Linked DNA regions of Lytechinus pictus. The protein of the gene in region 1 interacts with the protein of each later gene in a pairwise test. Links are inferred from orthologs where the notes say so. Each region holds a gene or a part of one and is shown in the gene's direction. Other genes may lie near its edges.

The links.
Region 2: the proteins of centrosomal protein POC5-like (region 1) and uncharacterized protein LOC129261036 interact in binary tests that used the Homo sapiens proteins (3 or more experiments, as listed by UniProt). The link is inferred for Lytechinus pictus from reciprocal best matches to the Homo sapiens genes POC5 and CETN1.

What each region holds. Positions count from the first base shown.
Region 1 is NC_087247.1:29,891,005-29,908,356, forward strand, and holds the start of centrosomal protein POC5-like, read left to right. Parts: upstream 1-8,539; coding exon 8,540-8,768; intron 8,769-17,352. UniProt on the Homo sapiens protein: Essential for the assembly of the distal half of centrioles, required for centriole elongation. Acts as a negative regulator of centriole elongation.
Region 2 is NW_026974140.1:2,533,490-2,550,743, forward strand, and holds the start of uncharacterized protein LOC129261036, read left to right. Parts: upstream 1-9,490; 5' UTR 9,491-9,708; coding exon 9,709-9,720; intron 9,721-13,985; coding exon 13,986-14,141; intron 14,142-15,098; coding exon 15,099-15,227; intron 15,228-15,999; coding exon 16,000-16,137; intron 16,138-17,254. UniProt on the Homo sapiens protein: Plays a fundamental role in microtubule-organizing center structure and function. Plays a role in sperm cilia formation.

The sequences.
Region 1 (17,352 bases):
TGTGGAGGGGCCGGGGGGGGGGGGGGGGGTGGGGTAATATCCGGCGCATAGCTAGCAAAGCGACCTATGTCTGGGCCTATGTCTGGACCTATGTCTGGACAACAGGTGTTGTTCCGAAGCAGACCAAGTAGCGATGAGGGGTTACCTCGAGGATCATATAGAGCAGCGGACATGGGGACCAAAGGTCGCGAAAGTCCATAGGCGAGTCGTAGTGAGGCCATCAAAATTCCTGTAGTAGGGCCCATCTTGAGGGTGGTGTGATGACAATCTCGGGCAGTTCCACTGGTACATGAAGTGGAGACATCGCGAACACGTTGGACGTCGGGGGGTCGACCCATGGGAACCGAGATGTTGGTACTCATAAGAACTGTACCCAGGCTGGGGATCACATCAGAGGCGGTATCCCTCACAGGCTGGTAGGTGGAGTCATCATGGTATCGGTCTAGAGGACATTGGAATTCCTCATCCTGGACAGTGGTGGCTATGGCATCAACCACAAAAGAGCTGGAGTGAACAACACCATGCTGGTAAATATGGACATCTGGGGAGTGTCCTTGGGGGACCAGGGCATCCTCAAGCTGAAGAGAATGTGGTGGATCCTGACGTAGATCAGGGATGGTACTTTGCTCAAAGCAGTCCATGGTGAACTTCCGATCAGCACCTGGATCAATGGCTCGAGTTGGGTTAACTGGAGATAACTGAATACGAGACGATGGCTCGAGCATATACAGGCGCAGTTGATGTGTTGTCATGTCAACGGAGGTACTGCTCGCTTGGCTGATAGCGAGACCGGCTATTCTATCATTCGTACATGCGAACCGAACGGAGGTATTGTTAGTTTGGCCGATAGCGAGATCGAGAACGGCTATTCTATCATTCGAACATGCGAACCGAACGGAGGTATTGTTAGTTGGACCAAGAACGAGATCGAGAACAGCTATTTTATCATTCGAACATGCGAACCGAACAGAGGTATTGTTAGTTTGGCCAATAGCGAGATCGAGAACGGCTAGCCTATCGTTCGAATGTGTGAATCGAAAACGAGTGCCTGTATGTGAATGGTGCATGCACTGTTCGGGCGTGTGATGAGTGAACAGTGTATCAGAGAGCGCAAGAGCCTATCAGCCCCGTCAATGCAGGTAAAAGTTGGCTCAATCTGGAAACCAGGAGTACTGCCAGGGATAACTGACAAGTCTTTGCACGTTTCATCTCTCTCTGATGAACCAACATAGCGAACATTGCTATCAACAACATCACAGAAATTCAACTGATCTTTACTCGCACCAAGTGTGCAAGTGCCTGATAGCATATCAAGTGAAGGGGGATCACATCCCAGTCCAACAGTGAGTTCATGACCTTGGAAACGATCAGGCTCCGATAAACAATCATCATCGGTAGGAATACCCGGATTACATACCACATCATTGTGAGAACCATGATCATCATTAGCTACATGCATTGCCGACAACTCAGCAGCGCAACCATCAAGATTAACAGAATGTGTTACAAGGTCGGTTAAATCTAAATCTCCGGACGATATAGCTCTAGACCCATCTAACTCAACGCTAAACCTCGAAGAATCGCTAGTGTGAACAGGCCTACTCCAATCACCTGTCACTCCAATGTTACAACCATAATGAAACACGTCATGACTACTTCTTCCATCTTCTCGCAAAGCAACGTCATCGACATCACGACTGGGGATACCACCTTCGTCTGCATGTACAAAGCTAAACTCCTTGGCATTGTCTTTACGTTTATTTTCAGGGCAAGTCCAAGAAAAGGTCACCCTAGAAGGCAAAATTTCATCTTTAATTTAAGAAGTTATCTTTGGTGGGGTAAGAAAGCCCAAATGTTGAATTTTAAAATTTCATAAAGAAAAATATGATAATATGCATATTTATGCTAATTTGGGGCACCTAATTTGCATAATTGGTAAAATGGGCGTTACGTATGGGACAATTATAAAAACTCATAGAAAATCAAAACAAAACTTGTGAGAATTAGTCATAGGTGGGACATGGACCCCCTAACATCTTATTACTTTTTGGGGAAAAAAGTGGTGTCATCTAATTAAATATGCAAATTAGGTCTTGTCCAAGGATGGAATGTCCCATACATAACATTTCGAGGATGTTTTTTAAAGTTATTTCTCATAATGCAATACTTGTATTATTGTATCTCTGGGAAGTTCTAATTCATTAATTAGGAAATTTTTATACCACAAAAAGTTTCAAAAATAAAGTTTACTTTTTAATTAAAAATTGTTACGTATGGGACAACATGTTACGTATGGGACATTTACACATAATGTCAATGGGGAGATTTGTGTACAAAGTGAATGGAGAAAAACCATTTTCAAGAGTGCTCTAAAAAGTGATTATTTACCTTTTCTTTAGTGTTTAAAGACTAATTTGTTATGAATACTGATTGATGAAAACAATCAAAGTGGAAAAATTGTGAAAATGGAACAATATGAAAAAAATAAAAAACAATAGAAATACATAAGAAATTCATGAAACTATGAAAAAAAAGAAAAAAAATTGTTGAAATGGCTCATTTTCTTTTCAGTCATATCAAATATGTCTCAATAAAACATTTTAAAAGAAAAAAACTCTTTTGTTATTTCCATATTTTAGATTATTTGGATTTTTGAAATTGTAGGGAAAATTATGTACGTTCTCTATGGGGACAAAATGTCCCATACGTAACTGTCCCATACGTAACATGTCATTAATTTGTTTAATTAGAGTCTGTAATTAGAGGGTTTGGGCTTATGACATGAAACTTGCCATAGATATACTAGAGTGTAGTGACTTCTATCACACTAAGATACAAGCTGTCAAATGAAATACTTTCAGAGAATTCTCAACTTGAAAAAAAAGGTTTTAAAAATTATCTTTTTTCTGCGTCCCATACGTAACAGCACATCTTTTCTGTCTAAAAGGTCAAGGTCAAGGCCATATGACACAATTTTTTGCATGATTATTCTTCTCCTAGATGTCTACCATCATGAGGGTATTCAATTTAATCAAAGTAATCTAACACTATTTTTAAGGTCATTAAAGCCTCTGAAATGTCCCATACATGTACGTAACGTGCGCGAATTCTTGGACTTGCCCTTCATCACTTCCTTCATCAGATCTCAACTCATCATTAACATTGTCTTCATGTTTATTTTCATCACTTCCTACATCACATCTCAACTCATTATCATTGACATTGTCTTCATGTTTATCACTTCCTTCATCACATCTCACCTCAATATCATTGTCTTCGTGTTTATTTTCATCACATCCTTCAACGAATCTCAACTCATTATCATTGACATTGTCATCATGTTTATTTTCATCACTTCCTACATCACATCTCAACTCATTATCATGGACATTGTCTTCATGTTTATTTACATCACTTCCTTCATCACATCTCAACTCAATATCATTGTCTTCGTGTTTATTTTCATCACATCCTTCAACGAATCTCAACCCATTATCATTGACATTGTCTTCAAGTTTATTTTCATCACTTCTTTCATCACATCTGAACACAATAACAAGTTCATGTTTATTCTGATCACTTCTAATTCGATCATTACATCTGAACTCAGTGACATTATTTTTCTCACGTCCTGCATGTCTCAATTCATTGTCATTCAACTCATCTTCACAACAATCAAGACTTTGAGTTTGACTGACATGATATTGGTAATTGTCATTAGCTAGCATTTGTCTGTCGAAACCAAAATGTATGCAAACAAGATCCCATATGTCTGCAAGTGAAGTGGACTTATTTACAATAGAACCTCTGGCGATAATCGGGCAAGAAGCTGAAATTTGCCCCAGCATGAGTTCCAAAACCACAACTTTCTGAGCGGCTGTCTTACCGCCAGCAACGTCAAAGGAATCGTCAACAAAACCCCGTACGGTATTTGCCTTCGACTTCCTTTGCCATGAAATACTCTCCGATAGAAAAGGCAAAAAATCAGTATATGAACACAAATTCATCATTAAACTACGCTTCCACTCTAGGAAGGATTCGGGAGTCTCGTACCGACTCAACCTGCGCAACTGTGCGGGCACTTCCGCTGACTGCGTCATCGTATCGTACTATACGTGAGGCTATCAAAGCATTACCTGTGTGTCGCTAACGCTGATGGAGCGATGAATCAGCCAGTTCAAATTGCAAAAATCACTACAGCTATAGTCCTAAACTGTCGATGCGTGACCCAGTTTTGGCCTAAAAATTCCTATGTGGCAGGGAACGAACCTAGCGCTGACACCACGACAATAAAAAGGGAGAAATTACCACATCAGATTGGGATGCAAAATGAACACCTTTATTCAACAAGGCCTAGGCTGAACATGCCGGCTAATATTTATACAATCATATGGTAGCTTCAAACAAACTAAACATAAACATTGGCGCCGGTGGTCTGACACAGAAAACAAGGCAAGAGTTCCATATCATCATTGCAACCCCCAGTAATCATTAAACATACCTAGTTGTGTTGCCAGACAGTTGATTTTAAACAGTCATAAAGTAACAACTTAAGCATCATGAGCAAAGTCTCATCAATATTAGTACAAAATATTTGGCAATATTATACCCATATTTTAAGATGCTAGAGCCATATTTACAATTCACAAGAGAGGAGAAAATATCATTTGTATCAGTTTGATATATTTTTTACTGGTCATGTTGGACCAGTAAATCTGGCTATTTCTGTAAAGTTACTGGCCCTACAGCAATTTTTACTGGTCTGGGACTGTCTGACCAGTGTCGCACGCTGACTTAGGACCGACCACCAGCCATACACTTATTTTACCGCCGTTTCTTGTCACGCTGGTGAAATATTTTTACTCTTCCAACTCAGTTCTATGATGTCACCATGCTAAATGATGGTCTCACTACTTCCACTGCATGCTCCAGTACATGACTCGATGATTGACGACGGATATTTGTTGTTTCCTATCAGATTTCTTGGTGTGACTATGAACAACTGTCTTGCAGTAGGGTTCGGGTCTGGTCAATACAATTTTGATGAATTCTAAATTTTTTAAACCTTTTTATCCCTCCTTTTCTCTAGTTAAATCGATTCTTATCTTCCTATGGACACTGCGCCTACTCTCCCGCACATAGCATTTGTAATATGCAATAATCTAAATGAGCGCAAGGTGGTTGGTTTCGAAAGAGGTGGTTGATGCATGTGTATGTGGTGACTCACTATACTATTAGTAGATCTAGATCTATAAGTCTAATGTTATCTCGGCCTATCTAGATTATGGATAAGGTAAAAATTATACTAGTAATGGCATGCACACTAGTAGGGACAGTGATTTTCTATTTCTAAAAATTTCCTTTCCGTTTCAGAAAATCTTAAATTCCGTTTTAGCATGTATGAAAACGAAAGTTCTGTTTCCCCATAGACTTTGTGTACATGAAAAAGTGACAATTCTGTTTACATAGAAAATCAATACGCGACAAGTAGCGATGTCAAAATGCTCACGCGGGTCAAAATTTGTATCTGCCACTGTACTAACAATACTTTAAAATCTATTGTAATAGAGGTAATACGAGTACAAAAACTATTTAAAAAAACATTAACATGAATACATCCTTTTTGGACATCGTTTTGAGCAGTCGACGACTCTCGCTTATCCACAATTTTGGATTAAGGGAGTACAGTGGTCATGATGTTTTAACTGAACGCAGAGGGCAGCAACACAAAGCTGTGTTTCTGCCTTTATTATGCAGACATGAATGTAATTTCGATACAATTGAGTGATGGAGTCGAGTGCAGTCACGATGTGTGGATTGTCATGGATGTAGCAAAGTGATATCATGTTTGTAGCCAGTTGATATTCGTATTTCGTTGAGGATATGAAGTAATTTCTGTTGCTATTCTGTGCATTTTGAGAAAAAATATGTTTTCCTTGATTTTCTTTTTGAAAAGCCACTTTCCGTTTCAAATGGCCAATTCCGTGCATTCCGTTTGTTTTCCGTGATTGCGGTAAATCACTGTCCCTACACTAGATCTTCTAGACAAATTAAATCTATCAACTGATGTGCGGAGAAACCATTTTCGCAAGCCAGCGACAATGTCAATGATCAATCACCACAATTCACACCAAACACATGAACAATGAAAGACATTGGTATCACTCACCATATAAAGTCCTGATTTCAACTCCAAAATTCTCTCTGAAATGTCAAACGTCAGATTTTGCCCTAAAACACGTGGAATCTGATTTCAAGAAACAGGGATCGCTAAAAGTAAAAAAAAAATGTGCTAGAAACTAAGAATCTGGTTTTGTTCTGCTTTTTCGAAATTTCTCGTTAGGATTGTATCTTAAAAGTTCATGGATTCAATTTGCACAAAAAATAGAGGCAACGGCATGCCTCTAGTTTGCCTTCATTCGACTGGCTCCAGGAGCAATGTGGGAGTGAATGGCCACTTACTTCCAGGTTGCATATCGCAAGTAGTGCAACGCAATTTAGCGCCTCTTGCATGCATTGACTATTAAGTGCGTGATGCGCTATGTCAAACAAAGGGCAGAGGGAGTCGATTCTTATCCGCAAAACCTGGTGATAATTTCAAGAGTTTATGAAATATTGAAAATGAACTATGGAATTAAAAGTAGGCTAACATGCGTTGGTATAAATTTCATTTGTGAAAAGATAGCTTAATAAATGAATCATGCAGAAAAGCTCATTATGTCAAATCTTGGACAAGTTACTCAAACAAATATCTATGACATTTAGCAAGGAACAGTTGGATATTCATGCACTGATGCACATACCAAAATATGGCTTTATTCTGTCAAATTTTGAAGGAAAATCCAGGGCGTTTAACTCCTTAAGACATTGGATTATTTAGTCACAAGAATGAAGGCACTATAGCCTTGAATAATGGGATTGGACTAATCATGATATCCGGTTATTGTCTCACCTGCATAGCAGAGTGAGACTATAGGCGCCGCTTTTCCGACGGCGGCGGCGGCGGCGACGGCGACGGCGGCGGCGACGGCGGCGGCGGCGTCAACACCAAATCTTAACCTGAGGTTAAGTTTTTGAAATGACAGCATAACTTAGAAAGTATATGGACCTAGTTCATGAAACTTGGCCATAAGGTTAATCAAGTATTACTGAACATCCTTCCTGAGTTTCATGTCACATGACCAAGGTCAAAGGTCATTTAGGGTCAATGAACTTAGACCATGTTGGGGGAATCAACATCAAAATCTTAACCTAAGGTTAAGTTTTTGAAATGTCATCATAACTTAGAAAATATATGGACCTAGTTCATGAAACTTATACATAAGGTTAATCAAGTATCAATGAACATCCTGCTTGAGTTTCACATCACATGACCAAGGTCAAAGGTCATTTAGGGTCAATGAACTTTGGCCGAATTGGGGGTATCTGTTGAATTACCATCATAACTTTGAAAGTTTATGGATCTGATTCATGAAACTTGGACATAATAGTAATCAAGTATTACTGAACATCCTGTGCAAGTTTCAGGTCACATGATCAAGGTCAAAGGTCATTTAGGGTCAATGAACTTTGGCCAAATTGGGGTATTTGTTGAATTACAGCCATAAATTTGAAAGTGTGTTGGTCTAGTTCATAAAACTTGGACATAATAGTAATCAAGTATCACTGAACATCCTGTGCAAGTTTCAGGTCACATGATCAAGGTCAAAGGTCATGTTAAGGTCAAAGAACTTTGGCCACGTTGGGGGTATTTGTTGAATTGCCATCATATCTCTATAAGTGTATTGGTCTAGTTCATAAAACGTGGAAATAAGAGTAACCAAGTATCACTGAACATCTTGTGCGAGTTATAGTAGTTTTCAAAATCAGCACTGCTGCTATATTGAATCGCGTGATGCAGGTGAGACGGCCAGAGGCATTCCACTTGTATTGTTTTGGAAACACTTTCTTTCAGTGATATCTCGCTAGCGCAGTGGCAGTGTATTGGACTGAGAATCAAAAGATTGGAGCAACAGAGGTTTGAATCCCAGAAAGGTAGCTATTAATGTGTGACTGGAAGCGGAAGTAGAAAAAAAGGGGGAAAAATGTTTCTTAGCTGGGACTTCAAAAACAAATTTACTGGGAGTACATATGGAAAATGCAATTTTCTCAAAAATTGGAAAGTGGTATTACTTGTGTGTGGATTCGTGTGATGTGAAGGAGGCAAGAATGAGAAGTATGAGTAAAAATCTGTAAATTTGTGTACTAAATAAATGGAGAGTTGTCCACACAATCACCTGTGATGTAGCATGTTTCAAACTTCCATAACTCTTATTTTATTACTGATTTTGATAAATCTACTTTTATATCAATGATATTCTCGTTTTCCTTTCAGATTGATGAATTCCTTGGGGTGTAGCTCCAATTGAGATGCTAGCTCACACCTCACAGTACAGACAATTTACAAAGAAAAAAATTATTTGAGAAAAAAGTTTTCCCAAATGATGTGAGTTGATATCTCATTTGCTTTTTTTTTGGTGGTTGTTAATAACAGAGCATTATGTCTACATCGACTGAGGCAGATAGCATCCCGATGCTCCCTCCTGATGATTCACCAGGAAGCTCCATCTCCTCGAGTCTCCAGGAAGAATACCAGGAGCTGCTGCAGTATGCTGTAGTCACTCCACATTATGATCCTTCTCAGCTCCCCCACACCCTTGCCGGAGCTGCCCAATCGTTCCAACCCCAGAGACCGATCAAAGACCAGCTCATCTATCTCCAGTCAAGCGGTAAATGAACAAAATCACTTCCACATACTGTAGGCCTACATCCTGAAAAAGAAACCAATACGTGTTCATCAACGATTTGTGTGCTATTTTTCACATTGCACGCATTTGAGCCTTGTGCACTACCCAGCTCTGCGTCGGATCTCGTACTACTTAAAATGTGCTGTATTAAGCCCTACTTCTGGTTTTGCAAGAAAAAAAAAAGTTTTATGCTTGGTTGTCTTATGATTATGTCTAAGATAATAAAAAGACACCTAAATACCTTTCAGAGATAAAATCTTGGGATGGTGTTATGAAAATTGTTTTAACATCTTGTATCTAAGGAGTTATTATTCTGTAAATCTTTTGATCGTTCCTTGTAACTTTTGTAACTTTCACTGAGTACTCATATTGTCAGAGCTATGATATGTGTTAAACTACAAACGATGCACAAAATTTCTCTGTGCCAGATAACATATCGAGATGTAAAGTATTCTGAACATTCTCTTGTCAATTTTTAGGTTAACTTTCTTAGAAATTTACAACTGGTGGGGAGTCTATATTGTAATTCAATGTTGCGTACAATATTTATTGGTCAACAAGAATTCTCGCTACCCCAAATAGGAACAAAAATCTCATAATGCGCGAGACGAGATAATTTTCACTCCATCTGGTCGTCATCACCACTTCCGGTTCAGAGTTATGCTCGCGCGAGGTTCGCGATACTGAGTTTTCCACCACGCTGAAATCGATGCAAATCAGCGTAATATGTACAGATTATACTTTTTTATTTAATTTGGTCAGTTTTGATTCCATTTGAATTATAAATAAAAATACAAAATATATTTCACATGAAAATAATTTTTATTCATGTTTTTATTTGGTTATAAAGAAATAAAACAAAAAATGAATATATTAAAATTTTGCATTTAGCGACTGACATCACGATCGTATTTGACTAGACGCTAAATATATACACTACAGCATTCATTCCGTTCAATTTTAAGTCGACCACAAAATGGATAAAAAATCTGTTTCGGAACTTAAAAAAAACTTTACTGACAGAGGAATACCGTGCAATGGTATCTTAGTAATTACGGCTGCCAAGCTACAGCTGGGGTAATAATATCCAAGTCCTTTGGAAGCGCATAGAGACATTATTCATAATTGTGATATGCGCTATACAAGAACTGTTTATTATTATTATTAATGGAAAGCGTCGGGCAGAATTAGTAACTTAAGCAGAAAAGGCCGTTAAACTGTATCGTGAAAGAGAGGGTTGTGATCACGAAATTTCCGAGCGAAAGCGACGTTGTGTTGTTGTGGATGACGGCACTGTTGATCTGAATGGCAAAACAGTGCATTGGACTTCATTTCATTTCATTTCATTTCATTTATTTCCATATTCAATTAAAAACAAACATAATCATCAAATCACAAACAAGAATATATACATATATATCACATACAGAAAAAACACCTATAAAAAAAGAAAGTGAGAGAAGGCTAATTTACATACATATAAAAAATACATAACAAATTGAAATATGGTGGAAACATCAAAAGCCACGGGGGCTTATCGAGGGTATTCCCATACGATTAAAATACAAATTAAACATATTTTTATGAAGAGATGTCAAAGCCAAGATAGAAAGAGAAAGAGTGAGGAAATGAAAATGAGATTGCATAGTAAACAGGAGAGATTGACACACTGTAGCATGTTTCTACAAAAATCTATTAATTATCATTTTGCAGTATATAGTATTTATATTTTCTTTTAAATGATGACAAAGTAGGATATAATTGTAGCTCAAGTGGGATACTGTTCCAGCATTTAGTACCCATGAATATAATAGTTGTTCTTGAGAACTTCAATTTCAATAAAGGTAAACGTATATCCCCCTTGGCCCTAGTACTGTATGAATGAATTGCACTATTTTGGGAACAGGAAGTTGTAATACCGAAAAGCTATCCCATAATGCAATGCACGTTACAGGGATTTTTCCCGGATCTCGGCGAAATCGTTATTTGGGGTAGCGAGAATTGTTTCTTGCTAGATCCAGCAGGAAACCCTTGTTATACAAGAGGAAATATTCCAAAGACATTACAAAGTCAGATTTACAGATATTCACTAATGTAGAGATCTTATTCCGGACTAATCTTTTTATTTTGAAGAAAATATGCATGGACAAATAACCATTTGTGTATTTTCAGCACAGTAGCGCATGCAGCCACGCAGGGGTGGCACATTTTAAACGGTGTGTTTTAAAACATGTTTTAAAACACCCGTTTTTGTCTCACCTGCGAAGCAGAGTGAGACTATAGGCGCCGCTTTTCCGATGGCGGCGGCGTCAACACCAAATCTTAACGAAGGTTAAGTTTTTGAAATGACAGCATAACTTAGAAAGTATATGGACCTAGTTCATGAAACTTGGCCATAAGCTTAATCAAGTATTACTGAACATCCTGCCTGAGTTTTAGGTCACATGACCAAGGTCAAAGGTCATTTAGGGTCAATGAACTTAGACCATGTTGGGGAATCAACATCAAAATCTTAACCTAAGGTTAAGTTTTTGAAATGTCATCATAACTTAAAAAATATATGAACCTAGTTCATGAAACTTGGACATAAGGTTAATCAAGTATTACTGAACATCCTGCTTGAGTTTCACGTCACATGACCAAGGTCAAAGGTCATTTAGGGTCAACAAACTTTGGCCAAATTGGGGGTATCCGTTGAATTACCATCATAACTTCGTAAGTTTATGGATCTGATTCATAAAACTTAGACATAAGAGTAATCAAGTATCACTGAACATCCTGTGCGAGTTTCAGGTCACATGATCAAGGTCAAAGGTCATGTAAGGTCAATGAACTTTGGCCAAGTTGGGGGTATTTGTTGAATTACCATCATAACTTTGAAAATTTATTGGTCTAGTTCATAAAACTTGGACATAAGAGTAATCAAGTATCACTGAACATCCTGTGCGATTTTTAGGTCACATGACCGATGTCAAAGGTCGATAAACTTTGGCCATGTGGGGTATCTTTTGAATTACCATCGTCACTTTGAAAGTTTATGGATCTGATTCATGAAACTTGGACATAAGAGTAATCAAGTATCTTTGAACATCCCGTCTGAGTTTCAGGTCACATGACCAAGGTCAAAGGTCATTTAAGGTCATTGAACTTTGGCCATGTTAGAGGTAATTATTAGATTGCTGTCATAACTTACATGTGTATAGATATAGTGTATAAAATGTGAATATAGGGGTAATCAAGTATCACTGACAAGTTTTAGGTCACATGATCAAGGTCAAATGTCAATGAACGTAGTATTGTATTATTATATGAATGGTGTTTTTTGTGAATAATTATTTTATAGTTGTTTTCAAAGTCAGCACTGCTGCTATATTGAATCGCGTGATGCAGGTGAGACCGCCAGAGGCATTCCACTTGTTCAGCTTAGATTTCATGATTTCATGAATTTCAGTTTATGTAATTGTACCAGACCTAGATCTATGATGAACCTTGATTTTACAGACTTTCTCATGAAATCAGGTTTACTGCAACTACTTTCTAGTTTCATAATATTGAAAATTAGTCTGAAATAGATATATATTGGATTTTATTGCAATAAAAACTATCAAAATACAATCACAAGCAGTCAAAGACTGAAATAAGTGAATGTTTACATACAAATAGAATCATAACAAAATATAATGTAAACATTATAAATAAATATCAAATACAATACAAATTCATACAAATGAAAAAGAAATGTATCATAAATAAATACAAAAGGCCATTAGTACTACAAAGTGTCACCAAGGAAGAAAAAAGAGGGATGAAAGATTATGAAAGAGAGAGAAGAGAAGAGAGGTGGGAGAAGGGAAAGAAATTGGGATAAGACAAAGAGAAGGGAAAGCAAGAGGTGGAATTTGAAAGAGAATAGGAGGCAACCTTCAGAAAAAAAAACTGATTATGCAATACAAGACATTTAACAATGGTAACAAGTAAATAAAGTAGTAGTTGCATCGAAACGAGCACAAAAAAGGGGAAAAGTAGAGCTGAGGAAATACATGTAGACTCCCGAAGGAAGTCGAAGCAGGGTTTCAGATCAATAACTTTGAAGGGTTTCAGACTTTCAGTTATGTTCTTTATGCAGCAGAATTCCCAATTTGCCATGAAAATTGAGCCTACTTAAAGGAGAATGAAACCTTTGGAACAAGATAGCTTGTGTGAAAACAGAAAAATAAAAGAAACAGATCAACAAAAGTTTGAGAAAAATCAGACAAATAATGAGAAAGTTATGAGCATTTGAATATTGCGATCACTAATGCTATGGAGATCCTCACATTGGCAATGCGACAAAGATGTGTGATGTCACTTGTGAACAACTCTCCCCATTTAGTATATATTTCACTTAAACTTCCTCTTTTATCACATCTATCAGTAGATCATGTGTCCTTTCTATAGAAGGGAATGTAATACAGATTTTTAAAGAATACGCCGTGTATAAAGAGTTTGTATCACCACAAGAAAAAGCAAAAAGAGAAATTTTGGGGGTATTTTATAGTCCATCAAAGGGAAAGTTGTTCACATGTGACATCACACATCCTTGTCGCATTGCCAATGGGAGGATCTCCATAGCATTAGTGATTGCATTATTCAAATGCTCATAACTTTCTCATTATTTGTCTGATTTTTCTCAAACTTTCTTTGTTCTTATTCTTTTATTTTCCTGTTTTGACACAAGCCTACTTGTTCCAAAGGTTTCATTCTCCTTTAAAAAGCTAAAAACAAACATACCTTGTTGACAAACTTTGAAGGTAGCACAAGATTTTTAAAGGAATATAAAAGAAATTGGCTCCCAGTGAAGCAAACAGACAAACATTGACAAACTTTGGAGGTTAATAATGAGAAAGAACTTAGTTCTGAGGAGCATTTAATCAACATTTGTTCTCTGACAAGTTATCAGATCTCAAAACTTTCTTTCATTTTCACTGGCTGAGAGGCACTTTTACTATGGTTAACTGTCATAAAAAACAAGATTTTGTCAGATTCAGATGAAACATTTGACAAGTCCTTTCATGAATTGTTCCCAAGGGGCCCGTAACACAAAGCTTAGCAATGATTGTAGAACATTTTTTTTTACGATTAATTGCATTTACTACAATGTACAATCAATTGTGAAAATCAAGCGTACAATTAATCGCTAATTTTTGTGTTAATGGACCCACATTTCATTTTTTTGTCTCACCTGCGAAGCAGTGTGAGACTACAGGCGCCTCTTTTCCGACGGCGGCACACAGTGGGCCGGGGCGAAACAAAAGTGCGCCAAAATTCATTTTGGGCAATTTCAGATTTTTAATTTTTTTCATGCCCAGCTGAAAGACAACACTTTGAAGAATACTTCAGCAAAATATTTTATTCGGGAATTTGCATAAAGGATGTTAATTTCCTACCTCAAATCGTAAAATGTGACATTTTGCGAAATGCCGCGTGTATGACAACATAGTTGAAAAGCAAGCAATTTCACGGGAGGTTTTTCATGTAGGAATCTGAAATGGCACCCACGTAATCCTGATATATTCTTCTTTTCGTGTGAAATGGTTCAAATTAGATAAAAGACACATTTCAGGAGGTTTATAGGACAATTATTCCTCGAAATAGGCTGATAATCCATGTTTTTAGCATTTACATTAGAAACGTTTATATTTCCGTGGATTTCTGTTTAAATTCTATCATTATCATTTTGCCAGATGTCTAAGCTTTAAGTTGGTACCAAATTTAGCTGCCCGTTTTTGCCCGTTTTCATGTTAGAGCCGATTTTACTTGGCACAACACCCCCAAAACCTGTTCAAAAACGGTCATTTTTATACCACGCAGTCATCGCAGCGCACCGTGTGGGGTGTACACTGCCGTTCATATTTGCACGGCGAGGACGATTCCCCTTCCATTCCATGAAAAAGACATGAATTCCGGGCATAATGCAAACAAAATAAAGGTTGATAACGCATATAAGGGCTACCCCAGAGATAAAATTTACTTGTAGAATAATTTCAGCCAAAAACCCTCCTCACAGTAAAACATTCGTGGTCCTATATACTCTGCGTTTTACCCAAGTCTACACCGCTTGATAAAGCACGGTTAATATTTTTCAGATTTTTAAGTATTTTTTAAATCTAATGATCATTTTGATGCCATATAATTATTTTCAGGATCTCATACACACTTGTTAGGCATGTGAGAAGCATAAATCAACATTCACTCTGGTCAATCTTAAAGTAACACATAACACAAAGTTTATATACTAAACATTGTTTAGCGTAATTTGTCTTTTCACAGATAGGTAGCCAATCAAAATTTGGTATCAAAGTGACGTCATATCGGCTTTAAATTATGTTCAGTCGATTCTACGCCCAAAATTACCCTTAATCAACATGTTAAAGTAAAAATATAACACGGAATATAATTTTGGCGCACTTTCAACTCATTCTGGCCCACTGTGCGGCGGCTGCTGCGGCGTCAACACCAAATCTTAACCGAATGTTAATTTTTGAAATGACAGCATAACTTAGAAAGTATATGGACCTAGTTCATGAATCAAGTATTAATGAACATCCTGCCTGAGTTTCAGGTCACATGACCAAGGTCAAAGGTCATTTAGGGTCAATGAACTTAGACCACGTTGGGGAATCAACATCAAAATCTTAACCTAAGGTTAAGTGTTTGAAATGTCATAACTTAAAAAATATATAGACCTAGTTCATGAAACTTGGACATAAGGTTAATCAAGTATTACTGAACATCCTGCCAGAGGTTCAAGTCACATGACCAAGGTCAAAGGTCATTTAGGGTAAATGAACTTTGGCCAAGTTGGGGGTATCTATTGAATTACAATCATAACTTTGAAAGTGTATTGGTCTAGTTCATAAAATGTGGACAGAAGAGTAACCAAGTATCACTGAACATCTTGTGCGAGTTTCAGGTCACATGATCAAGGTCAAAGGTCATTTAAGGTCATTGAACTTTGGCCATGTTAGAGGTAATTATTAGATTGCTGTCATAACTTTCATGTGTATAGATATAGTGTATAAAATGTGAATACAGGGGTAATCAAGTATCACTGACAAGTTTTAGGTCACATGATCAAGGTCAAATGTCAATGAACGTAGTATTGTATTATTATATGAATGGTGTTTTTTGTGAATAATTATTTTATAGTTGTTTTCAAAGTCAGCACTGCTGCTATATTGAATCGCGCGATGCAGGTGAGACCGCCAGAGGCATTCCACTTGTTCAGCTTAGATTTCATGATTTCATGAATTTCAGTTTATGTAATTGTACCAGACCTAGATCTATGATGAACCTTGATTTTACAGACTTTCTCATGAAATCCGGTTTACCGCAACTATTTTCTAGTTTCATAATATTGAAAATTAGTCTGAAATAGATCAATAACTTTGAAGGGTTTCAGACTTTCAGTTATGTTCTTTATGCAGCAGAATTCCCAATTTGCCATGAAAATTGAGCCTACTTAAAGGAGAATGAAACCTTTGGAACAAGATAGCTTGTGTGAAAACAGAAAAATAAAAGAAACAGATCAACAAAAGTTTGAGAAAAATCAGACAAATAATGAGAAAGTTATGAGCATTTGAATATTGCGATCACTAATGCTATGGAGATCCTCACATTGGCAATGCGACAAAGATGTGTGATGTCACTTGTGAACAACTCTCCCCATTTAGTATATATTTCACTTAAACTTCCTCTTTTATCACATCTATCAGTAGATCATGTGTCCTTTCTATAGAAGGGCATGTAATACAGATTTTTAAAGAATACGCCGTGTATAAAGAGTTTGTATCACCACAAGAAAAAGCAAAAAGAGAAATTTTGGGGGTATTTCATAGTCCATCAAAGGGAAAGTTGTTCACATGTGACATCACACATCCTTGTCGCATTGCCAATGGGAGGATCTCCATAGCATTAGTGATTGCAATATTCAAATGCTCATAACTTTCTCATTATTTGTCTGATTTTTCTCAAACTTTCTTTGATTTTTCTGTTTCGACACAACCCTACTTGTTCCAAAGGTTTCATTCTCCTTTAAAAAGCTAGAAACAAACATACCTTGTTGACAAACTTTGAAGGTAGCTCGAGATTTTTAAAGGAATATAAGATAAATTTGCTCCCAGTGAAGCAAACAGACAAACCTTGACAAACTTTGGAGGTTAATAATGAGAAAGAACTTAGTTCTGAGGAGCATTCAATCAACATTTGTTCTCTGACAAGTTATCAGATCTCAAAACTTTCTTTCATTTTCACTGGCTGAGAGGCACTTTTACTATGGTAACTATCATAAAAAACAAGATTTTGTCAGATTCAGATGAAACATTTGACAAGTCCTTTCATGAATTGTTCCCAAGGGGCCCGTAACACAAAGCTTAGCAATGATTGTAGAACATTTTTTTTACGATTAATTGCATTTACTACAATGTACAATCAATTGTGAAAATCAAGCGTACGATTAATCGCTAATTTTTGTGTTAATGGACCCACATTTCAGTTTTTTGTCTCACCTGCGAAGCAGTGTGAGACT
Region 2 (17,254 bases), on another chromosome or scaffold:
CGGACACACAACCTGTCCAGACACACAACAACTGGGTGTATACTAGAAATTAGTATGCTTGTAATTGGTTCTAAAAATGACAAAGCTTGTTGGGTCTGATTACTTTCCTTGAATTTGATGAGAAACAGTGAACCCAGAACCACCGATTTATAGAAGACGTAGACAGAGCATATTAGGTCCATGGACAGAATAGAGCTAGCCAATCACGTCGCTGGAATGACCGCCGACATATCGTCTCGAAGGTGATATTAAACTTGTGTTTGGAAACATATTGGGAAGGAAAGGCGATCTAAAAATCAAGATTTTTGTTCCGAAGTAACGAAGAGAATGGTATGTATTGGGCCGTAACTTTCGATACTTGGATATAATTCGTGTGTCAGAGTCAGAGAGAGCAAAGAATACCGACAATGTGAAGAAAAAATGTTTTTTGAGAAGTTTCAATTTTTAGCTTCGGTCCCATTCGCTAAGACTTATGTGAGTGGTTTTACTTTATTGCATATTTTAGACATCTCAATTATTCATTTGAAAGTTAGCTGAGCTGTGCTGTGGCATGTGCTATTCATTCAGTAAACAAGGTTATGATATACTGTAACCTTGTTCTCTGTGTGAGGAAATAAGGTTGACAATGTTTGGCTTATTTTCTCTTGATTTGGCCCATTTTGGGGGATAAATGATTTTAATTTTATGCTTGATTTTTTTGACACCCACTGCATGTCATGTCATTGTCAGTTAATTCTACTAAATCATTTAACGACCGTTACTCGAGTCTAGTTAGAGGACTCCGTGATGATATTTTTTATGATTTTGATATTGTCAGTACATCAAGGTCAAGGAGCCTAGACAGGCTTATGCCCACTTGATTGGTGTCAGCACTTGACAGGTGAATGAACTATCCTAGTACCTAGCAGTAGAGTTACCAAAAGGTCGGCCGATCCACTGAGCAAAATTGCTATGGGCAAATGAAAAGCCAATTGCAAGTGCGTAAACAGTGTGCATTGCCACCATCGTCTGTTCTCGACGGCAAAAATGAGCATTGAAATGCTTTTCCTCAGCAAATTAGTTCATCTTAGTGAAAAAAATTAGGCCCTGTGTATTCTACATTTAAATTAACTTATGTGGGATGAAGTGTCTTACCTTCATGTGGTATCGAAAGTGACGTTTGGAGGTTAAATCCACGAGAAATCCACAGAGTTTCGTCGCGTGTATTCGCTATGGAGAAAAATGCGTGCGATCGCATGCGTTATTGCAAGCTCGAGACGGCGCTGTTGAACTTGGTCTGGAAATTCATAAAAATAAACAAAAATCCTTTGAGTAGGCTCACAATAAAATCATAAAAAATATGCTTTATGACTAAAACGGTAGTTCTCTTGCCCACACATATCATACTTGTTGTTGCGTAAGAAATCCTTTTTTCATGATAAAAATATAGCAATAAATGTTTTAAAAATTATGTTTTCCACATGGAATATGTTTGAAACATCTATATTAGAAGAAAAATGTGTTTTTTTAATGAATTCAAACTAAAATGAAGTTTATACATGCTTGCACTTTTTCATACTACTCAAAAAACAAAATGGGCCGTCAATCAACGTTGGTTACCTCGGCAAGTAGGCGTGGTCTATCGTGAAGTTCGCTGGTGACGTACCTTTCTCGCTAGACTTTACTCAGCCGCCGAATTTAATTCATTCTCCGCGCACGTGCAACTGCAACTTATTATCGTCACTGCACTGCTGGTGTTTGCCGCATTGAGGACAGATGAAACAATTCAGATAGAGTTGCGCGTGTACAATGAGTGAAACAGCGCGATCGTTTCATGATCGAATGAAACAGTGTGCCTGTCGAGATAAAATTCATCTGCCATGTTATTTTCTATCGTGTTTTATGCAACTGCAATTGATTTGTTATATTATTTTCTTTGATATTTCCTGTATATGTATGTATGAATTTTATTTGAAGTGAATTAATTATGCTGGTGTCCTTGCCATTGAGGACAGATGAAGATGAAACAACACTGATAGAGTTGTGCGTGTACAAGGAGTGAAACAGCGCGATTGTTTTATGATCGAATGAACAGTGTGCCTGTCGAGATAAAATTCATCTGCCATGTTATTTTCTATCGTGTTTTATGCAACTGCAATTGATTTGTTATATTATTTTCTTTGATATTTCCTGTATATGTATGTATGAATTTTATTTGAAGTGAATGAATCATGCTGGTGTCCTTGCCATTGAGGCAGATGAAGATGAAACAACACTGGTAGAGATGTGCGTGTACAAGGAGTGAAACAGCGCGATTGTTTTATGATCGAATGAACAGTGTGCCTGTCGAGATAAAATTTATCTGTCATGTTATTTTCTATGATGTTTTATACAACTGCAATTAATTTTTTTTTCTGTGATATTTTCCTGTTTATGTATAAATTTTATTTGAAGTGAATTATTATAAAGATTAATCCAAAACAAAGCAAATAATTGTCGGCTTCATTGTATTCGTGATGAACAAGTTAAGGTATCAAAAAATGATGCTTATTTTTTTTATTTGAATGACTTTTAGTAAATTGGAATTGACAAGGACGTTTAGTGTTTCCTGTTCAGTGCAATTTTTGTTTTCTTTTTTTCATTTCACATTCTCGGGATGCGAACCTCCACTATAATTATAATTAATGAATACCATTATAAACAAAAATATTTGAAAAATAAAGACTCGCAAAAATTTTAATACTAGTGCAACGGTGATTTTTTTTTTGGGTTATTTCATTTACTGGGAGGTACGACAGACAAATACCCGGTGTAGATCAACATTTTGCTAATGGGGGGGGGGGGCTACAATTTTTACCTTTTTAATTTTCGCACCGCCAGTAGGAGGGGTTGCCGCCGCCCATAATTGGGTCCGGCACCTGGATCTGCCTATGGAATGGATGAGGAATAAGGAAAGGGGAGAAAAATAAAGGTGCCCCCTCCCGTAATATATCAAATATTTGTTAGTGGATTTTGTCGTTCGTTCTCAAGTGAGGACTTATTTTTCAACTTTTCCCAGGAATTTTGTGTATGGAATGATTTTTTCTTAGCATACTAGGTCTTGAATGCCCCCACTTTGGAAAATCCTGGATCAGCCCCTGTCAAGGTGTATATAGATGAAACTAAACTTGAATAGGGCTCCACATTAATGATTTTCAAAATTTAGCCATTTCCTATTTTCCCCGTTTAACATTGTGAGGTGAATAATTCAAATGCTTTCCCCATCGCTACCATAGAAGGATCCAGGGGGGGGGGTCATCCCCCCTTCCCTGTTGGCGGATTATAAAGACCAAAAAATGGAGAAAGGAAGAAGAAACAGAAGGAAAAGAGAGGGGGAAAGGGAGGGAGAAAAGTGAATAAAATTAGGGAGGGGAGACTTTGATGATTTAAAAGAACATGCAAAATTGAAATTTTCGCTCGCGCTTCGCACTCGCATTGCTTATTTTCGATGAGTACATATTGCTCAATAGGCTGATATATATGAGCTTGACATTTAAGCTTTGCAGTCAAAATACAAAACAAATACTGTACGGTCAGCTAGGACATTGAACTTTCATTATTCTTTTTGATTTATACCTCGGTCACATTTGCTCTGCGGCGGCCGTACGGAGAGTCGAAATAGCCGTTTTATTCATTTTTATTCAAACCACCTATATTGTGCTTAATTTGACCTTTTCACATCGGAATATCCAATATTATCAGTTCGCGCTTCGCGCTCGCATTATTGATTTCCGTGGTAAAAAGTGTATTAAGAATGCACAAATTCTAGAACACGCATGTTTATTGAGACGGGCTGCTTATCCTTTATTGAAAACAGCATGCTTAAATTATCTCGCTTCAGATTAGAATATAAAAAAAATTCTTCTCGCTCTTGCATTATAAAATAATGTAAGACGGTAACCAATTACCCACCCTTTTCACGATTTAGAAAACATAAATATAAAATAGTGTTCCTTTTAGGTCTATATATATCTCAATTGTTATCCGCTCACGCTTCGTGCTCCCACTGTGTTCTGTTCATACACAAAGTGCTTGGAATGTCCATTTTTATGGTCAGAATTTCAAACATTTTAGCTCGAGCTTTGCGCTCGCATTATTTTGATTGAAATATGCATCGTCTTCTTGGCTAACTGTAAACCGCCATTAGCAAGTCCCTTTTCGATCAGGCCAGAACGTATATTTCTCTCTTTTCTTACTTACTTTTTTTTTGCTCCTTCGCGCTCGCAGCAATTTTAGTAAAATACGCATCTTGTTCAAGTTCACAAACATTGCCCAGAATGTTCAATTTTGAGGATAAAAAACATGAAATTTCAAAAATATTTTAGCTCGCGCTTCGCACTTGCACTATAGGGGCTATGATATTATTGTATATTGTATTTTGTGTATGCTGTTTAATGAGAATAAAGAAGTGACTGTTAGGACTACCCCTATTAACTTTGAGCGGCTGATTGTGGAAAATACGGGTGCAAATATTTTTCGGCCCCTTCCCCGGTTTATTTCCAATTTGTCTAATTGCCAACTCGTCTACTATCGTTTGGTCCATCAGTTCGTCAACTCACCACATAGTCTTTTTTCTTCTTCATTTAGTCTAATGCCATTCCGTCTAATGACCAGTGGACCCAAAAGCCATTTGGTCCATATACCATTTCATCTAATTGGACTATAAGTGTATTATTGTGAATGAATGAAAATAAAATGGGTATATATTAGACCAACCGGTTATGAGACTAAATGGTCATAGACGAGATGGTTATTAGACAAAGTGATGATTGGACCAAATGGTTAATGGACCAGTGGCTGTTAGACGAAATGTTGATGGACAGATTGGCATAAGACTAAATGAAAGTAGACCATGTAGTATATGGAAAACTAGCGGACAGAAGGTCCTCGCTGCACGCGCGCACCCTTATAACACGCAGAATTCCCTTGCATTATACCCTTTTTTCACAAACAAATGTGTATCAAGGACAAGCGTTGATTCAGATAGAATTTCCGCCCCCCTGAAATGAATGGTAACAACTTCTTCTATCAGATGACCATAATTTTTTTTACATTCAATTGGTGGGAAATATGGCACTTTATTACATTAAAATCACTAGAAACCATCCATAGTCAGGAATATGTATTGGGATAATGGGTTTGGGGGACATTTTTATAGTACCCGGTGGATTATATCCGTCGTCACATCGGTGGGTGGTGGTATCATGAATTTCCGCCCAGATTACAATAAAGGGCACATTGTAAGGCAAATACTCATGAAAGAACCATGGGGATTGGTTAATAAGGAAATAGGGCACTTTTATCATCAAATCAGAGGAGATTTTCTTTGTGAAAGTGATGTCCGAAGAGCAAACCTACACCCATGACGGGTCCATTATGTATACGAGGGGTGCATGCTAGCATACCACTGCATAGCTAAGTCTGAAAATTAAGTTTTGCTTATTTCTTTCATTTTATAATGATGTTTAAATGTTCAAACAACGATAATTTATGAAAATTGACTCAAAATATTGCGAATCAACGCTGAAACATTATCTGTGTATACATTTTATCCCTCTGTAATGCTATTTCCCCCATAAAGCCGCAATGGAACATTCCACACCACTAGTCATACGATGATCGCGAGGTCTGCAAACGTCGTCTGCTATGTTTTTACATGTCCGGTACACTGCATACAAGTTTTCGATATGCGGGGAGTGGACAAGTTGAAGTTGGCCGTAGACGAATTGGCACCCCCCCCCCCCCCTATTGGCGATAGATCCGCCCATGCACTACTACTTCTTTCTTATCTCATTATGATCTCTCAGTTCCATATCCCCCCCTCTCTCTCTCACTCTTTCTACGAGGACTCTTTTATCGTATGCATATCTTCCTTCGATTTCCTCCCCCCCCCTCTCTCTCTCTCTTTCCCTCTCCTGACTGCTGTTCCTTTATAGTTAATTCCCCTCTTTTCTCTCAAACCCCCTTTCTGTCTCAACATCTTTGCCCCCCCCCCCCATAAATTTCATTCAATTATTCTACCCCTTTCAATATCTCCAACATGATTCTATACTCCTCAATGTGCCATACACACCTTGAGAGAGAGAAAAAAAAACACTCAAGAGATAAATGGGCAGAAATAGCATGGGTCAAAGAAAGAAGCATTAATGGTTCAAGATTATGGGATTCACAGAATTTAATGCATATGTAGAGTAAATACATGATTTATAATGTAGTAACATATTGATAATGGCAGTTAAAAGGAGGGTAATCCTTGTGACTTGGCCTTATAAAAATTTTGGCTCGCGACTTGCGCTCGCATAAACGGTTAAAAATATTACCTGATACATCATATTCATAATTACAAAAGTGCTTGAAATTTCCAGTTTTCATACCATGTTATCATCAGATTTCGCGTCTCATTAGGCATTTATAGATCAGATATTAATTTTAATGGTTTAATTGTCCTTTCTGTTTCATCTCGCGCTTAGCAAGAGGAATAGGAAGATATTCATCACTTTCATGTCCCGGTCCTTTGTCAAATCTATCAGCTCTTTATTAAGTGCGATCCAAATTCACCTCACAAAGTACTTGAGCTGAAATTGACCCCTTTTTCAGATCAGAATGTCAAATATTTTAAGGTCGCGCTTCGCGCTCGCTTTGATTTTCAATTTCATGTTAAAATATATATTCAGAATGCCTAGATTGTAGGCCTAAATCGGAAACACGCGAGCGCATGTCTATCTATAGATACTCAACTTGTTAGTATTTCAATCATTATCCAGTTTCTGAAAAACAAAATTCTGCTAGCGCTTTGTGCTCGCATTTTTTATGTAGGAAGAACCCCTATTACTCATCCTTATTATACAAAACATGAATAGAGTGTCCCATTTTTTAGGTCTAAATCTCGATTTTTTTTCCCGCTCGCGCTTCGCGCTCGCATTAATTGTTTTATAGCGACGATCCTGTTCATGGTCACAATAATCGATTAAAATTTTCCATTCTTTATGTAGAAGTGTAAAAAAAAAATCGGCTCGCGCTTGCATTATTTTATTGTTGAAATATGTAACGTCTCCATGGCTAAGTGAAATAAGCAGTCCTTAACAGGTACCTTTTTGATCAGTTCAAAACGTATACAAAAATATTATGCTCGCGCTTTGCGCGAGTATTATTAAAGTAACAAAGATCGGCAATTTGACATCCTTTTCCATGATGATTTAAAAGACATGACTAGACATGTCTCGTTTTTAGGTCTAAATCTTCCAATTTTGTGCCCGCGCTTCGCATCAATATTGCTAAGTTATATACCTATCCTGTTTAAGTTACAAAAAGTGCCTATGATTTCAATTCTGTTCGCACTTCGCGTTCTTAGTAATTATTTAGTTGCATACACATCTTTTTCATGATAAACATTGCCCAGAAATTTCAAACTTTGGGGAAAAACATAATTTTTTTAATAAATTAGCTCGCATTATATAAAAAGGGTTATGATATCATATATTTATGTTGATTTATAAGACAAAAGCTAAGAAGTGACAATTTCTTCATAGAAACAAATATAAACCATATTCGCGCGGCCGATTGGGGAAAAATAATGGTGAAAAAAAAATTGGCCCCCCCCCCCCCTTTGGCGAAAGCTGGATCCACCCCTTCATCCTATTTATTTCTCTCCTTCCGTCCATCTCTCCATTCTTCCAGGAGCCGCGGAATAGTTTTGAAAAATGTTTTTTAAATTTTATTTCTACCTTATTTCTACCAATAAAATTATTAATGAAAATAATGCGGTACAAAAATCAATGTCATTCTTCTTCCTGTTTTAAACTATATACGTGTACAAAAAACGCACCACCAGCTAAAAAAAACAAAAAAACTTGGGGGTCACAACCCGAGCACCCCACTTCCCAGGGCCATATACAAGGATTCTAATTTATTAATTTTAAAGAAAGCATGAGACATCAATTGTTGGAAAAAAAATTAAAGAGACCTATTAATGACTGCATGTGGTCCTACCGGTACGCTAGATCTGCGCACAAAACTGCTTTCATATGACACGCAAAAGGGATGAATCTTAGTGGAAAAGTGGAATAAAGCAAACAGGATTTAGAAACTGCCTTCGTTGGCGTTCAATAATATGGGTAATATGATACAAATTCTGCTAGCTTATTCGTACTATTATTTCTGGCCATTGTACTTAGATCAAAATTTTAATGTGGAAACATTTTTTTTTTTTTTTAATGATACAAATCGAGCGAGGCAAGCACAATGATATGGGGCAGAGTTCCAAGTCTTCATGCCCCAGACTGAATATATTTTGCATCAACTTACTCTAAAAACAAGTGTTTATGTTTTATTTTTTATTATTCATTTTTTAAGTATAAGGTAAAATTATAAGTCTCGGAGTGTCAGTTAATGCTGCAAAATATGTATAAGGCCTACTCTTTTGCAGCACTATCCAGCTACCGCGGCGAGGACGCCCTCCGAGAAGGTAGCCATATCAAAACTAAAAACAAAAAATTCCCCTTAGATTACTGGTGGGTCCAAGGGGCATAATTATCGAGAGCCAAAATTGTAATTTGTAATATAAGCATGCCCTTTTTACCCAAGCATGCCCCCTTGAAAGTGAGGATATATATATATATGCCCTATTTTTTTGCTTGTCAATTTTTATGGACGAAATGACTTTCAATTTTTGGTAAAAAAATATTTTGTAATGCTCATCAAATTTGCATCGGGAAAATGTGCCCTCCATAGGCCATGTCCCCCCTAAATTTTAGGTGGGGACCATTGGCAGCGGAAATCAAAAATTTAGGGAGGGGGACCACCAAAATTTTGTGACAAGCCCCCTCCCCCAAAAAAGTGTATCAACCCAAATTTTAGGGGAGACCACATGAATTTTTTAGGGTGGTCCACTGGAATTTAGGGGGCATGCACGCAGGAAAAAAAAATTGACAAGCAAAAAAAAAGATTATCAACAAAAAATTAGGGGGGGACGATCGTCCCCCCACCTCAAATTTAGGGGGGCACACCCCCCCCCCCCCCGCTGCCTATGGGGGATGTTGTTAGCTTTTTGGGGGGCTAAAATTTTTTTCGGCCCCCCCCCCCCTTTGATAACCTTTTTTTGTCAAAAATTTTGGTGCCCCCCTAAATTTTTTGACTGCCACCGCTAACATGGCTAATAGTGCCCCCCCCCCCCTTTGGAAATCCCGGACCCTCCCTTAATTGCCTAGATATAGATGTTTAAATAGTTAATTATTTTGAAAGTCAGAGTGCCCTCGCCCCCCCCCCCATGCTTTAGTTATCATGGCATAAAACTTATGTCATATCTAATCCTTATATCAGCAAGAGGTCAGAGCATACTATCCGTCACCAAACGACTGCATTTGAGCCATTCATTTTCCCTTTTCTCTTCTTTCTATTATTTTCTTGTTATTTAATCATTGTTTATTTGTATAAGCTCGGATCCGAGACTAACTGATACGGTGAACGTACTTTCGTTCGAGTTGTGTATTTGCGTAATAATAGACCGAGACGAGAAAGGACACGCCCACAATCCCTCGTTCAGTGCCGAGCTCTGTGCCGTACGTGTCGACCAAATTTCAAAGAGAAATTTGTACACAAATCTGTCACAATTCGGACCTAATTTCGCCTCAGATTAACAGATATTTAGATCTCTTTGGAACACTAAAAGTCATTCAATTGGGGTTTTTTAATATGCTGATTCAGGTGAGGTACTTTTCAATGCTTTTAAACATAGATTTCAAAAATTAGATTTTCGTTTTGGGATCCCTACTAGCAGCTCATCAACCTTGTGACAAACTCACTGAGAGTATACCAGCTAGGAGATCATTTGGGTGTGGAAACGACCCACAACGAACAACAACAACAACAACAACAACTATCCTAGATTTCTTGTGTGGAGAAATCTTTCAAAACTGAGACAGTCCCTGTAAAATCTGGGACGAATACAATTTTCTGACCAGCGCCTCTACGTACTGCTTGTTGAAAAGTTGTATTATTAAGTTCGCTAGGCACAGTGCCTAGCGAACTTAATACAACTTACAATTCATTTATAACAACTCATCTTACATTTCACTCCTTGTCCACACTTCTATCAGTCTCAAAATTGGTGATTTACAGCCAGTAGCTATTTCCTCGCACTTATTTTTCACTGCTGATTCCAACACATTGCAAATGCAAATTACACATTCACAGGTTATCGCTGGTCAAGACTCATGAATATTCCTTTAGATCGAGATTGTTTTGCTATTTTCTTGATCGCGATCTACAGTATTGGAATACTCCTAAATATTCATGAGTAAATGCAGCTAGCTTTGCGATGATTATGCTTGACAATACAGTGTGTTTTAAAAAAAGGTAATCGAAATCTAGAGGGTTGATATACAAATTATATTTAAATTTGTGAAATTATTCTGCATGGATGTGACAGAGTAACTCATCAGCTATCCATTGATACCCTATTTGTACCATTTGTGCCATGCATGACCGAATTATTTGATGTTGAAGACAACAGGTGCAGATACCACTTTTTCAAAGTTTTTGAAAACTTGATGGAAAGGTAGATGCAGATGTAAATACTTTCATTGATGCCTGAGCTGGCAAAAATCTTTTGATTGGACCTTTTTTCTTCCAAAGGAGTGTAAATGGGCGAATGTACATGTATGCCGACTTGCATTTATGATTTCTGAGGAGATCGTACCACATTGGACCAACATTTTGACAGACAGGTTCGAGGAGTGTACCTGCATCTTTGGTGGATTCAGGACAGTGCTCCTGTCTATCCTACCAACGTCGTTCGAGAACTCTTTAGTTCGACATCAAGTTGTTGCCCTCAACCAGGACGTAGAATGGCCACTATGCAAAATCCCCTGACCTCATGCCCTGTGATTATTTCCTTTTGGGCACTTGGAAAACAAAATGTTTGCAACTCCTCCCCAAGATCTTGATGATTTGCAGGGCCGAATTCAACAAGAGGTGGATGCCTTTTGTGCAATGTTAAGACGAGCTGTCCAAGATATTCTTAATTCTTATCCACGCTGCCGGTTTTGTGTGCAAAGGAGAGGAGGACATGTTGAAGGTGTAGGTGAATAAGACATTAATCTTTCAATAATCATTTCAGAGGAATGCCTTGACTCTTCATTCTAAAAATTTCTTTGAAAAACATTTTATGGTACAAATAGGGTATGAATGGAAAGCAGATGAGTTTCTCTTTCATATCCATGCAGAATAATTTCACAAAATCAAATATGATCCCAATATCAGCCCTGTAGATTTGGATTACCTTTTTTCTGAAACGCACTGTATAGGCAGGGCTGGGGAACAGATTTTTCGTAACATGGGTCTTGTTAGTGGGGCGGTTTCTGAATGGAACTTTTATCATTCAGAGTATCTAGAGAACTGAAAATGAGGTCTGAAAAGGGGGGTTCTCAACGCTGTACGGCCCCGTACCACTGATGTATGTGAGGGCCTCCACCCCCCGACCCCCCCCCCCCCCCCCGCATAAATGTACAAAATCCACAGGTATGTAATCAAATTTTTACCTTAGGCTTTGATCTAATTTGTGATATCTAAACTGCAATAAGCAATAACTAATTTCACTAAAAAAAGTACATGACTAAAATAAAATAAAAATAAAATCACTAGACAATTCATCCCGTCGACCATCCTTGTCGCCATCATTGTGTGCATTTGTGTGTTACCACCTGTGCCTACTTTCTACAAATGCACCACCCCGTTATATCCGCTATTGTTGCCTATGAAGTCAATACCGTTATGTTTTGACCTCACTGGTACTAGGAGTGATTAAGGCCAGCTTCAGAGATTTTCATGTTCAAAAGATTTAATGCCAAATTGAAAGCCTTTTTTTTTGCATAACATTGTCGTTACAATGCAAAAGCTCTCCATGCATCTGGTTCCCTCTTTCTCACTCGATATTATTCCTTAGCCTCAAATTTCCATTGGTGGACAAATGATATTGACGATGAATCATCATCCCTTGCATGGCTTTATTTAGTCAATTTTTTTTTATTGAATTATATAATTTTCTGATTATTAATCCATCTGCATTTCCCTGATCTTCAAGATCGCTCTAGATACCACTTTCATACAGTTAAAAAAAATCAATGACATTCATTAAGTAAATCAGAAACAAAACAAAATCTCACTAGTAAACTCTATCTGTCATCAGAATCATCACTGACAAGATGAATCTTGCCAACTAGTATAACTGTCTAAATGGGCACCACTGTGTACAACTGCTGTACGGAGAATTGACCATTGAGTTGTACATGCTGGTTCCCGTTTCAGCAAGTGGAACAAGGGCAGTCTACTATTTAGATATATTAGCATCATAACTGCAAAAATAATTCTCACATTCTCTTATGCCTCTATTCTAGTCTACTGGTGAGATTAGAATCGTCACTGACAAAATAAATCTCTGAAGTAAATTTTCTTGATTATACATACTGAAATGGAAACCAGCATGTTCATTTACAACTCTATGCCTGTGGAGAATTTTCCATGCAGGTTCCGATTTCATTATAGAGAAGAAACAGCAATCAATTAAATCTCTGATCTTAAGAAGCTCAGAAGCAGCCTCAGCAACGGCAATGAAGTATGTAATCGGAAGTCATTGGTAGGTAGGGCATGTCTTGTCTTGAAAATGTGTCCAGTTTAAAATGGGAATTGGTTCCCATTTTCTCGATAATGCCACTTTGGGCCATATTTGTCACAAACAAGTAAACTCTGCTCATTTATTTATGATATGTTTTTCATTACAATCTTGGGTATTAGATCTAGAGAACTCTTATTATTTTTATTCACCAGTCCAGAGTGCTTGAAAAATAGTAGCATATCCTTGTGAGGCTGACTACATGTAGCTGTATATTGAAAGAACTGTAGGCCTCTCTACCGGTAGTTTTTTTTACCAAGACATGATGAATGACTGTAGTAGAAACAGACTGTGCACAAAAGAAATTAGCTGAACATTTCCAGACCTTATTTCACCACACAGGGTTATTAACTGAGGACAGTTAGATCATAACCTTGTACATACATGTAGGATGACTGGTCCTAACCATGGGTGATGTCATGAAGCGATAGCATCATGCAGGCTTATTCCTCATTTCTATCATGAACCAGCCATGCAATTTACTCCAAAAAAAAGGAAATGGCTCAACATCAAAACAATTAACTGGAAACGATCGTGACTGTGAATTGTTATAAAAAAATTAAAATAAATAAGTCTGCTGAAAAATGATTATCTTGAGGATGAGTATCTTAACAGTGGAGAACTTTGTCTCTGGAAAACTCCAGTCACTGAGCTGGAATGGTAAGCGCTAATATTTTCAGGTACAAAACCATGCATTTACATGTAGATCTTATTTCTATAGATATTGTGATCTAACCAGAAAAAAAAAAAATTAGGAGAATGAAACCTTAGAAGCAAGTTAACTTGTAATGAAAACAGAAAAATTAACATTTGGAAACAACTGGACAAACAATAAGAAAGTTCTGAGCATTTCAAAATCTCTATTGTAATGGAGATCCTCGTATTGGCAATGGGACCAAGATTTGTGATGTCACAGAAGTATAACTTTCCCCTTTGTACTCAGAAAATATAACCAAAAACATCTATATTTCCTCATTCTAATGACAGTTCAAAATCTTTGTCCATATATATATGGGGTTTCCCCTCCCCATATTTCACTGCTAACTGATTTACATTTACCGGTATATATTAAAAGTGTGTTATGGCATTACTTCATTGCTTTTAATTTCATATTTTGAAAACTTCTAATTATGTATATTGTGCTATTATTGTTCTATCATGAAAAATAATTGATCAATACAATTTTACATATTTCCGTAATCTTATCATGATTATAAACTATTCAATGTAATGCTAATTTCATTGGTTATTATATGTGTATTAATACCTGAAATGTTGATACTTTTTTTTCTATCCACAGACGAGTCGTTATACCAAGACCACCCTGGCTGGGGGGCAGAGAAAGAAGCAAGGTCCAAAGCCAGAGCTTACAGAAGAACAAAAACAAGAGATTCAAGAGGCTTTTGATCTATTTGATACAGAAGGAGCAGGCACAATTGATGCTAAGGAACTGAAGGTAGGAAGGCATTCCATCTCTATTCTCCTAAGATGTGTTGTTCTTCAAGTTAAAGGTCAACTCAACTCCAACAAAAGCATAACAGTGAAAACTTCCTTTGTGCTATTCATCATTTATACATTTGCCATCGAATGAAATGTCATAACAACAATAGCTAGTAATTCATGGGAGTCTGAATATATACCAAAATGAATTTTGGTCTTAATATTCTTGTTGAATTCACAATCACTTTTCTTGATATATCGCTCTTAATTACAGCGCAGTAGAATATATGCACATAGTTTCTGCGCTATACAAATAAGTATATTTTTATTATACATGTATGTTCAAAATATATAATCCTTGTAAAAGCTCTGCTACATTTTCTACAATGTGCCACTTTAATTCATTCAGTACACTATTTTGTTGTCTTGGAGACAATTCGTATTCTAGTTTATGACAACATAGAGCCTTTTTCCGTCTTTTGAATAGTTCCTAATACCCTATTCAAGTTTAGTCTTTAAAATTTCCATTCCTTTTTTTATGAACATGTATCTTTGTTTAATTATTGATGTATTACACCCTGTCAGTGTCACAAATATTGTTACTGTTCTGTGCCTTGGACCTGGATTGAATGTGGAACTTCTTTGGACTATTAGATGAAACAATTAAATGGGGGGGGGGGGGGGCTTTGAATAAGAGCAATTACAATTGTACATATTGTACTTAAAACCCTTTATTGAAAATGCTGGGGTGATATGTGATCTCTAACATAAAATAATGCAATTTTTGTATGTAATAAGGTTAATTTAATAGTATTTATATTTTTCAAAACTGCATTTATTGAAAATGATACATGTAGTTCCGTCAAGGTTGTGTCCTGTGGTAAAGTCACTTCATGTAGACCTTAGAATACTACTATCGATTATCAACAGCCAGTCCTCATTAATTTATCTTCCACCTATTGTATTGAAACAGGTTGCTATGAGAGCCCTTGGTTTTGAACCCAAGAAAGAAGAGATTAAAAAGATGATTCAGGACATTGATAAAGAAGGTTCAGGAACGATTGATTTTAATGACTTCTTACAACTCATGACTGCCAAGATGGTAAGTGTAACTGAAGCAGGGTTTATGGTAGGGTCATGTAACACAAAGGTCTGCAATGAATAGCAAATATGAAAGAACATCACTGATTCTTTCATTTTACTGTTTTTTTAATCATTTTTTTGATTAGCAAAAAACACAAAGCACTCTGTCATGATGAAAACTGTTCACCTTGAGTTTGATGCTCACTAAGATTACTCGAATTTGACTTTAACAGATAGATTCGGAGTTTTCACTCTGTGACGCATGATGGAATCAAGAACACATTAGGTGTATTGAAATTACCCATCAAATGACAGCAGTTGGTAGGTCTTTGTTGAAAATTGGTGAATCCGAACAACAGTTTCATCCTAAGTTTTAGAGCTGATGAAAATTTGCAAATATCTAGTTTGCCTAGAGTTTAGCTTTTGATTCACCAATTTTCGACAGAGATTGTTCATTGCTATGAAGGGCATTTGATAATACATTTTTCTATGTTCTTGAATACGTAGTGACTCGTGGAGCAAAAATTCCCTTTTCATATAAAGACCTCTAAATGTTGTCAAAAGAGCAATATACAAACATGAACTTTTTATGACTGAAATCAGTCTACTAATCCATTTAGGGGGGGGGGTTACAAATGCATCATACTTTTTATCTATTGGAATAGACTGGCATTTCACTTTTGTATGGGTGTAGATGAAAGTTTGTTTTTTATGTAAATATTGTTGATTCATGAAAAAGTTTATTTTTTATATTTATATTGTTTTATTTTCTTTTTTCTTCCATGTTTTAGAGTGAAAAGGACTCTAAGGAGGAGATCTTGAAAGCATTCAAGCTCTTTGATGACGATGAGACGGGCAAGATCTCTTTCAAGAATCTCAAAAGGGTAGCTAAAGAACTAGGTGAAAACCTCACAGATGAAGAGCTACAGGTATCTATCTTACCAAGTACAGTATTCTTGAATGCAATCCAGACAGGAATGCATTAATTCCTTCAGAAGGAATATTCACCAAGAAATTATATTGAATTTTAAGGGCAACTTCATCTTGATATCCGTCAAATACAGCTTGAATGAATGAATGAATTTTGAAGCAAACTGCTTAATTAATCTAAATCGGATTAGAAATAAGATGCATATAACTAAAGACTTTAGTTGTTGCATAATTATGTGAAACAGATATATGCAAATATTCAAAGGAACAATCTGATTATGTATTTCAATGATAGTAGGTCCTTACATGTTAAGGGATTTCACCCTTGTTTCAATGAGATGACCCATTCTATAAGGAGTGCATCTATGTTTTACATCTTTGGAGCAAACATTGATATACAAGATCTCTAATACTTTTAGAAAATACCAGAAGGAAAAATACTAAAAGAAAAAGTGTGCTGTTGAGTGCCATCTTCTCACTTACATAAAGCTTTGTTCTGATTTCATGGTGGTGAGACTTTTTAATTTTCAATTCAGTATTTTGGTCGGCGAATCACAAAATTATTTGTAATGGTTACCGCCTCCCTCCCGTCATTGCAGATAATCAGAGCTTTTGTACTTTGTTCCGAACTTCTGGTAGTAAAAAATCTAGTAAGTTTAGTGTGAATAGAATCCAATGTGCTTGTGTTTCAATCCTCATACTCTGGCCCGTATTCTGAAGTTAGTTTTAACTTTATAAACCGTGGTCTAAGTCTGTTTTAAAATTATGGGGAGCCAAAAACTTGAAAATTCTGCTTATATTGTATATTTCTTATATTTACTATTCTGTTTCTCTTTGCTTTTATAATGAAGAAAATATTTCAGTTATCATTCTGAGACAGTAATAAATGATTTGAGTGTCAGAAGAGTTAATAAATTGAACATGTACTAATAGAGACTTGTGCCCCAATTGGCTCTCCATAGTCAAACTGCAACTTCAAACAAGGGTTTAATTTAAACCCGACTTCACAATACGGGCCTTTGAATCTATCATCCTCTTTGACAAATTTGATGAAATGTTATCGTGTCACAAGTTTGTCTATCTATAAACAACTATTTTATCTCTTCAAATTTGACA